Neodiprion lecontei: one gene and its partner. Each later gene encodes a partner of the first gene's protein in a complex. Links are inferred from orthologs where the notes say so. Each region holds a gene or a part of one and is shown in the gene's direction. Other genes may lie near its edges.

Region 1 (3,962 bases):
ATAATGAAATTGCTGTTTTGTGACAAGTGTCGATAAAACGGACGGTGACATCAGCCAATAGAGAGACAGGAAAGCTAGGGTAAAATACGCACTGCGCAAAAACTCTATAGTTCTTAATCAATCAAAATACAGCAACTTACGGGGACGTGAGCTTGGCGCGTAGATTCTAGTTTCGAACCAACAGAAAGAATAGGGAAAACGACAGTGTCTGGCCAATCTAACGGCGCGGTTAGATAATCGGAGGAAGTGATACGTTGCGTTACGACCAGCCCGCTGACACCACTGCTTGTATACTAAAAAATTGTACGCGTCTTGTCCCCGTTTTTTAGTTCTTTTACGTGGCGCTAGTAGACTTCTGTCACGCTCGCTGCCCTCGCTGACCGCGCGCGAGCTGGTCAGACAACTACTAGCGCCACTAGTGGTGGAGATTGGCGGCAGAATCGAGGGACATTTTGCGAACCACTTTTAGCAGCGTGTGTCAGAGGACTGGTATGAATTATTCGGTGTATTCTATTATATTATAAAGTCAAAAATGCCTACTTGTATTTTGAATTTTAAAATAATGTCAACTTAAATCAAATACCTAACAAACAAAATCAGTCATTTCTCTGAACTCCTGTCACCTCATCGACTTATTGTTCATCAAGTTCCAGTCATCCTCGAAAGGTAAGGTGAGTTTTTACTTTATTATTCTGACGGTCATTCCTTTCCCCGTTTGTGTGAAAACCGCGATTGAACATCCATTGTCCACTGCATTTCAATGCCTAGTCGGTACCTGCTGACCCAGAACTACCGACGGTGCATCGGCCTGTACTTCAGAGCATTCTTCACAGTCCCCACCATCCAAACATTCTGATTGCCTTGCAAAGTTTAGTCGACCAATCAAAATTCTCGGATGGTGGGATATGTGAAAAGTGAAATTACAGAATCGATCGCTAGATCTAGTGTCTAGCATCTGGAATTGTCGGGGAGTGATGTTGTGACGTCACAGTACACTCCACCATACTGTATGTCATAAATCCGTGGTCTATGCATAAAAGGATGACGTATTGCTAGCAGTTTACATCGGTTTACATCACGGCGCCGAGTCCCGTCTCTTTCTAACATTACGTCCCAGACTCCCAATTGAATCCGTGGAACGGCTGTCATTAGCAGCTGGATGCTGATGGCCTGCGTTGGCGTTTGATGTCGTCAACTGCAGTGGTTTACGCGAATTGAGCGGTGAAACGGTGGACGACAACACCAGTCGAAGTGATGGTGAGCTGAGCTGACAGGTGTGATAAAATGGCGAAAATAATAAAGGCACCGGAGGTTTCCACCGCGTCGTTTTCCTGCGAATATTGCCCCAATATCACCTTCAGATACATCGAGGACTTCATAAGGTAGGTCCCGACTCCACACCTTAGTATTTTCGACTTATCTGGCCACGTTGCGTCTCACCGCGTTATCATTGCCACCTTCCGCAATCATCAGCTGACCTTGCCGCTGTCATTGCCCGAATAAATTCTCCCCTGTTAATCTGAGCCCGCCTTGTATTGTTGGTTAAAACTTCAAAGGTCTTACTCAATGTTCAGTATTCATCTTTCATCTATTCAGCGAGATGCTTAAATAAACTGTCATATGTTTCCATCGGTCACTTTTCTTCTCTCATCATCTGTCATAGTTGAGCCAACTTTCAAGCATTGATATTGTTGTAAATTATGCAAACAATCTTAGCACAACAATCTACTTTGTTTGCATTAGCGACTCGCTTTAAAATTGCAGTGAATCTGTAAAATTTTTTATTTCAATGACTTCCTCTAAATATTCCATCCATTAAAGATGACTCGTCTAAAGCAACGACTTATTATTACTCAAATTAACATAAGCTATTGATCTAACCAGACTCTTGTGGTAGTAATTAGGTGCTTACGTAACTCCTTTTCATTGCACTACCTGGCAGTAATTATTTTTTTTGTACTCCTAAAGATTAAAATACTTCGAAAGATCCACGATATGATATCTTTTCAGTCGCTCCACACAATTTCAATTCTTCTCTTGATTTATCACATGAAATTGTATGTCAAATGCTTAAGCACTCGGCAGTTGTTCAGTTGTAACAAGGTTGAAGAACATTAAACATTGCAAAAATATCACCAATACGCTATTTCACAATGATTTTGATATTATTGAGTATTTAGATTGTTAGACTTCATGTTGTTCTATTTCAGTTGCTTAAACTTCACATCCTCCTAAGACGGCGGACCAACGATTTTTCTTAAAATTGCATTGTTATATCAACCTTACCAACTTAAACAATACGAATTCTCACAGCTAATTGTTGCGATGAAGGCAAATTGGCCAATTTTGGTTGGCCAGTATCAAAAGTTAGGAAAAGAGGAGAAATCCTTACAAAGGTCATTTAAACAATCTCCGGTAATGTTATTTGCATAAATGATAGTGAAGATATGTCATACAACATCCGTAATTTCAAAGAGAAATGATTCTGAGCAAATTTTTATAACATAAGCTTAGATATCAATGATTTGAGTAAAATTTTTGTAGTCAGAACGTTTAAAATGAGTAAACTGTGGTGTTTATCATTCAATTATGATGTCTTGGCCTCATTTTGTTCTTCATACAGATTTACAAACTAGATAAAATTAGATTTATGTTAGTACGGTAAAATAGATGTTCGTTAACAATCACATTCGTGTGTTATAATTATATTATCATATAAGAGTCTATCTCGAATGTTGTCTAGACAATTTGTGAAGATCTGATCAGTGACGAAAATGAGTCGAAACATGTAAGAATCGCATAAAAAACACCAGAGTTTATTAATCATTTTGAAAATTCTGATTCTAAAATCTTTTCTCAAATTGCTCGATATCTCTTAGGTTGTGCCATTAAAATTTGCTTAGTATCGTATGTGTTATATAAGATACTATATAAAGATGATGTATGCTTTATCTTAGACACTTGAGAGAGCAACATTGCGCAAGAGAAGGTGGTTCGTTTGTTTGCCGTTATGGGTATAACAGTGTATGCAGCAGCCTTCCGGTCGAAGGTGTTTCGGATAAGGATTACATAGCCCATGCGACAAAACACGCGACGATGCAGCAGCAGCAACAGCAACAAAAGAAAAGCAACGGTCAAGTAACCGGATCGTCTCCGTCGTGGACCATTTATTCAGCTGCGCAAAACTTGCCTGCGGTACTGAATGACCCCAACAAAGGAAAGCAAAGTAATTTTCTCACCAAGACATGGGGTGATGCATTTGTTGAAAAAGTTGATATACCCAAAAGTCCATATCTGCCTGACGTCTCTATGCAGCACTTCGACAATTATATGAAGAAGATTGCACGGGTTTGTATAATCTTTTAGAGATAATATTATCGTCAAGTATTTTGCGAGAAGTTCTTTCTCCCTGATTATTTTCCTGTACCGCATATTCACTTTTCATTTCTGTTACAGAGATATCGTAAGCATTCGCGCATGAACACAAATTCCAACAATTCCACCTCGCCAAACGAGTTGTTGCAGAATTTTCCCAATCTCAGGAAAGTCAAGTCGCTGGGTAAGCAAACATGGAATATACGCTAGTCTTGTAACCTGAACAATGGCTACGATGAAAATATTGATTCTTTATTCGTTTTGCAGAACGTTCTCAATTCGACTTGTCGAGCATACCAAAGATCTTTTTGATGCCGCATTTGGACCTTGCTCAGAAGGAAAATTTCCTCGCTGTATTCCCGTTCGCTAAGGAAGGACTATTGGATGAAGATGGAAACACAGCCAGCCATGCTAAACTCATGCAAGAGAAAGTATGGACACGACTACACTCCGTAGGCCATTCTATGTACTTTTTATGTTGTGTGCTGTTTTCTATGTGTACATCAGGGTGTTTAGCGTCAGGGAATTTCCGGAAAACCAAGAAATCTCACGGAATTAGATGCAGTCTGGAAAATTCAGGGAAATTT
Region 2 (3,600 bases), about 18 Mb from region 1:
GAACTCTATTTAGCTCGAATGTCTATAAGAAAAAATGCTTTTACTTAATTACAATTGTTTCATTTGATATTGTGTTACTCGAGCATTAGAAAATTATAACTATACGTACGTCTTTATGTACTTGTTCAATGATAGAAAGAATGGCATTTTCTTTTTCATTTCTCAAGTAGCTAACAATGTCTGTATCTGCGACGGGATCCAATGGCTCAAAAGTACGCCGTGCACTCAGAGAATTCAATTTTTGTGATATTTGCGGTAGGTCAACACCACGCGAACCCAATAAGAGATGTCTGCAGTAAATTGAAACGGATTTAATTATAAATGGCAAGGAGGTCGAGCCTCGACAATTTTGAGGTTACATTTAAACTCCGCGAGAAAAAAAAGTGGATACGTACAGAAATCCGGTGGTGCCAATTTAATTTAGTCATCCGTTTTTGTTTTACACATAAAGAACTAAAAATTGGATATTTAATTTCCGTACTTACGCCTGTACTTGATTATCCTGACTGCTGGGCTGAGTGACGCGGGACCAAAGTTCGTTAGAGGCTTCTAAAATCTGTCTTAAGTTTCTTTCGACTTGCGGTAATTCGCCGTTTCCCTCTACAGCGGCTGACAATTGCTCAGCCGACCGTAGGAGCTCGTTAAAATCTGAATCACCCATTCTGAAGAATTTCAACAATAAATTAACACGGCGAACTGAGGTTAGAGTAGTCCCGTACACGCCATTTACAAATTTGAAATTTCGTCTGCACGGACCAGCACGGACTTCAACCGATTGGACTGCCATCTGATCCTCGCATCAACAATTAAACTCCAAATACCCGAACCTCTAAAAAATGCGTAATGGCTGGTCTGCGAAGCAGACGGTAGCAGACAGCGTGCTGTCAAACTAGGCTGTCAGAGTTGTTCAGCCGATATTTTACACGTGAGAAGAGCAAGGAAAGAATACGCAGTAATAGTATTATAAATAAAAAAGTGTCGGAAGGTTCAATATCGTAGAAATGTCGTCGGAAGTCAACGCTTTTGACGATAGCGAGACGCAAATGGCTCACGAGGATCTGGAGGATGACGTGGTCCAGGAGGTCCTGACGATGGGGACAGACCTGCGGCAATATTCCCGACAAATAGAAAAAGAACTCAAAGAAGTCGAGAATAAATCTATTCAAGACTACATAAAAGAAAGTCAGAACATAGCCAGCTTGCATAACCAAATTGATGCCTGTGACAATATTTTAGAGGTTAGTAAATGGCTATTCGATACATGACGATACGTTCTCTCGCTATCACAATTTATTTATTACAGAAAATGGAATCCATGCTACTGAGCTTCAAAACCGACCTCGGCAGCATAAGTTCGGAAATTTTATACCTGCAACGAAAATCTGTAGCCATGAGCCAGCAACTTTCCAACCGCCAGGTCATTCGAGGACCACTGAGTCAATTCATCGAGGACATGACTGTTTCAGAAGCTCTGATAATGTAGGTTGAATAATAGAGTTCTGTGCCATTTTAACTATTAAGTTATCAGAAAGTATGTCATTTAGAACAGCAGAATCTATTTTTTACTCTGTTTTATTATTAGGGGAATCATGGACTGCCCGGTTACTGAGAAGGAATTTTTAACACAGCTGCAGACCTTGAATCACAAAATAAACTTTGTCAAAGAGCAAAGCTTCAAGGAAGCTAAATCTTGCCAAGACGTCAAAGAGATACTCGAGAAATTGAAAATAAAAGCAATGTCCAAGATCAGAACTTATCTGTTGGAACAAATATACAAATTTAGGAAACCAATGACCAACTATCAGGTTCCGCAAAATAACATGCTCAAGTATAAATTCTTTTTCGAATTTGTTTTGGCCAATGAAAGAAATGTTGCTGAAGAAATATGTGGGGAATATGTCGATACGATGAGCAAAATTTATTACTCTTACTTCAAGTCGTACTCTTCGCGACTCACAAAACTGCAGGTGAGAAAAAATTAGACATTTGCCTTTGCAATATACTTTACTAATCTTTCTATATGTGTACTCTAATGTTTTCTAGTTCGAAGAAGCTGCCACCAAAGATGATCTGATGGGCGTTGAAGATACAGCTGGCAGAGGGATCTTCCACAAAACTCCCCTCAAACATCGAGGCACTGTTTTTTCAATAGGCACCCGAGGAGATGTTCTCAATTCTCAATTAGAAGCTCCAATAATTGTGCCGCATACTGCGTCTAAGACTAGGGTTCGTTTTTTATTATTCAAGAAGATTTATAACAATCATAGGTGAATCAATAATGTATTTCATTCACAGTATCACTACGAAGCTTTGTTTAGAAGTGAACAATACGCGCTGGTGGATAACGCTTGCAGAGAGTATCTATTTCTGTCGGAATTTTTCAAGGTTCGCGGAACTCAGGCGATGGATATTTTCGATCAAGTAATTCAACATATTTTTCCCTTGGGAATTGCAACAATTAACGAATGACATACGGGATAGAATTGTAATTTTTCTTTTATTTTTCTATTAGGTGATGGGCAAGACCTTGCACCTGTTACTCAAGAACTTGCAGTCCTTTGTAGATGACTGTTACGACACTATAGCTCTCTTTCTTTGCTTGCATTTGGTAATGCGGTACCAATTGACTTGCCATAAACGAGCTGTCCCTGCACTAGACAAGTATTGGGATAATCTCACCTCAGTTATTTGGCCAAGGTAATCTCATCAGTTCTCTGAAAACGAATGTGCTTGGGATCCATTTAGACATTCTATTTCAGGTTCGAGTACGCCTTTCAGTTGAATATTCAAAGTATCAAAGACTGTGATCCCTGGAAATTGAATAAGGACATAGGACCTCATTACGTGAGTAATGTTACTTCCTATCATTTAACGTAACCACAGATCAACTCTCAAATAAATTTATGTCTTGACTCGCATCTCTATTCAGATTACTAGACGTTACGCTGAATTCAGTGCCGCGATGGTCGGAGTCGGAGAAGGATTTCCATGTGAAGGAGCTGCACAGTTGTTGGCTGAATTAAGAGAAGCAGTACAATGCTTTTTACTTAGAATGGCCGCAGTCTTTGTGCAGAGAACACAGCAATTAGTGTTTCTAATCAACAACTACGACTTGGTCCTGGGAGTTCTTATGGTCAGTTGTCGCTCTTTGTCACGGTCTTTCATTGAGAAATCAATGACGAACAAATAATTGTAAAAGTTTCGTTTCTCTGTAGGAAAGAACCAGAGATAATTCAAAAGAAGCTGAAAGCTTCCGTGAAAAATTGAACGCCCGTTCCTCTGAGTATGTTGAGGAAGTGTTGAGCCCTCATTTTGGCGGAATTATACAGCTTGTTAAAGAAACCGAAGCTTTATCTGATAAGGGTCAAGTGGAATATTTTAAGCAGCACGAAGGAACGGCACTGGCTTTAGTCGAGGCTTTTACTCAGTGTTGGAAAAACGAGTTGTCATCAATAAATAGCGAAGTTTTGAGATCGTTTCCAAGCTTAGTTTTAGGAGGCGCATTGCTTCAAAGAACTTTAACTCAGTTTGTTCAGTATTATCACCGTTTGCATAAAATTTTACCCGCAAATGCTAGAGCTCGATTGACAAACATCCATC

Evidence for each region. Proteins that work in one complex are often made in the same cells at the same time.
Region 2: vacuolar protein sorting-associated protein 54 (region 1) and vacuolar protein sorting-associated protein 52 homolog share a complex: the UniProt entries of both Caenorhabditis elegans proteins name them as parts of the golgi-associated retrograde protein (GARP) complex. The link is inferred for Neodiprion lecontei from reciprocal best matches to the Caenorhabditis elegans genes vps-54 and vps-52.

What each region holds. Positions count from the first base shown.
Region 1 is NC_060261.1:16,717,579-16,721,540, reverse strand, and holds the start of vacuolar protein sorting-associated protein 54, read left to right. Parts: upstream 1-1,066; 5' UTR 1,067-1,284; coding exon 1,285-1,382; intron 1,383-2,957; coding exon 2,958-3,348; intron 3,349-3,456; coding exon 3,457-3,559; intron 3,560-3,642; coding exon 3,643-3,827; intron 3,828-3,962. UniProt on the Caenorhabditis elegans protein: Acts as a component of the GARP complex that is involved in retrograde transport from early and late endosomes to the trans-Golgi network (TGN). The GARP complex facilitates tethering as well as SNARE complex assembly at the Golgi.
Region 2 is NC_060261.1:35,079,397-35,082,996, forward strand, and holds the start of vacuolar protein sorting-associated protein 52 homolog, read left to right. Parts: upstream 1-859; 5' UTR 860-1,001; coding exon 1,002-1,238; intron 1,239-1,303; coding exon 1,304-1,479; intron 1,480-1,582; coding exon 1,583-1,967; intron 1,968-2,043; coding exon 2,044-2,226; intron 2,227-2,295; coding exon 2,296-2,421; intron 2,422-2,512; coding exon 2,513-2,697; intron 2,698-2,759; coding exon 2,760-2,844; intron 2,845-2,929; coding exon 2,930-3,133; intron 3,134-3,215; coding exon 3,216-3,600. Other genes in the region: nuclear pore complex protein Nup93, read right to left, coding at 1-22, 110-290, 486-787. UniProt on the Caenorhabditis elegans protein: Acts as a component of the GARP complex that is involved in retrograde transport from early and late endosomes to the trans-Golgi network (TGN). The GARP complex facilitates tethering as well as SNARE complex assembly at the Golgi.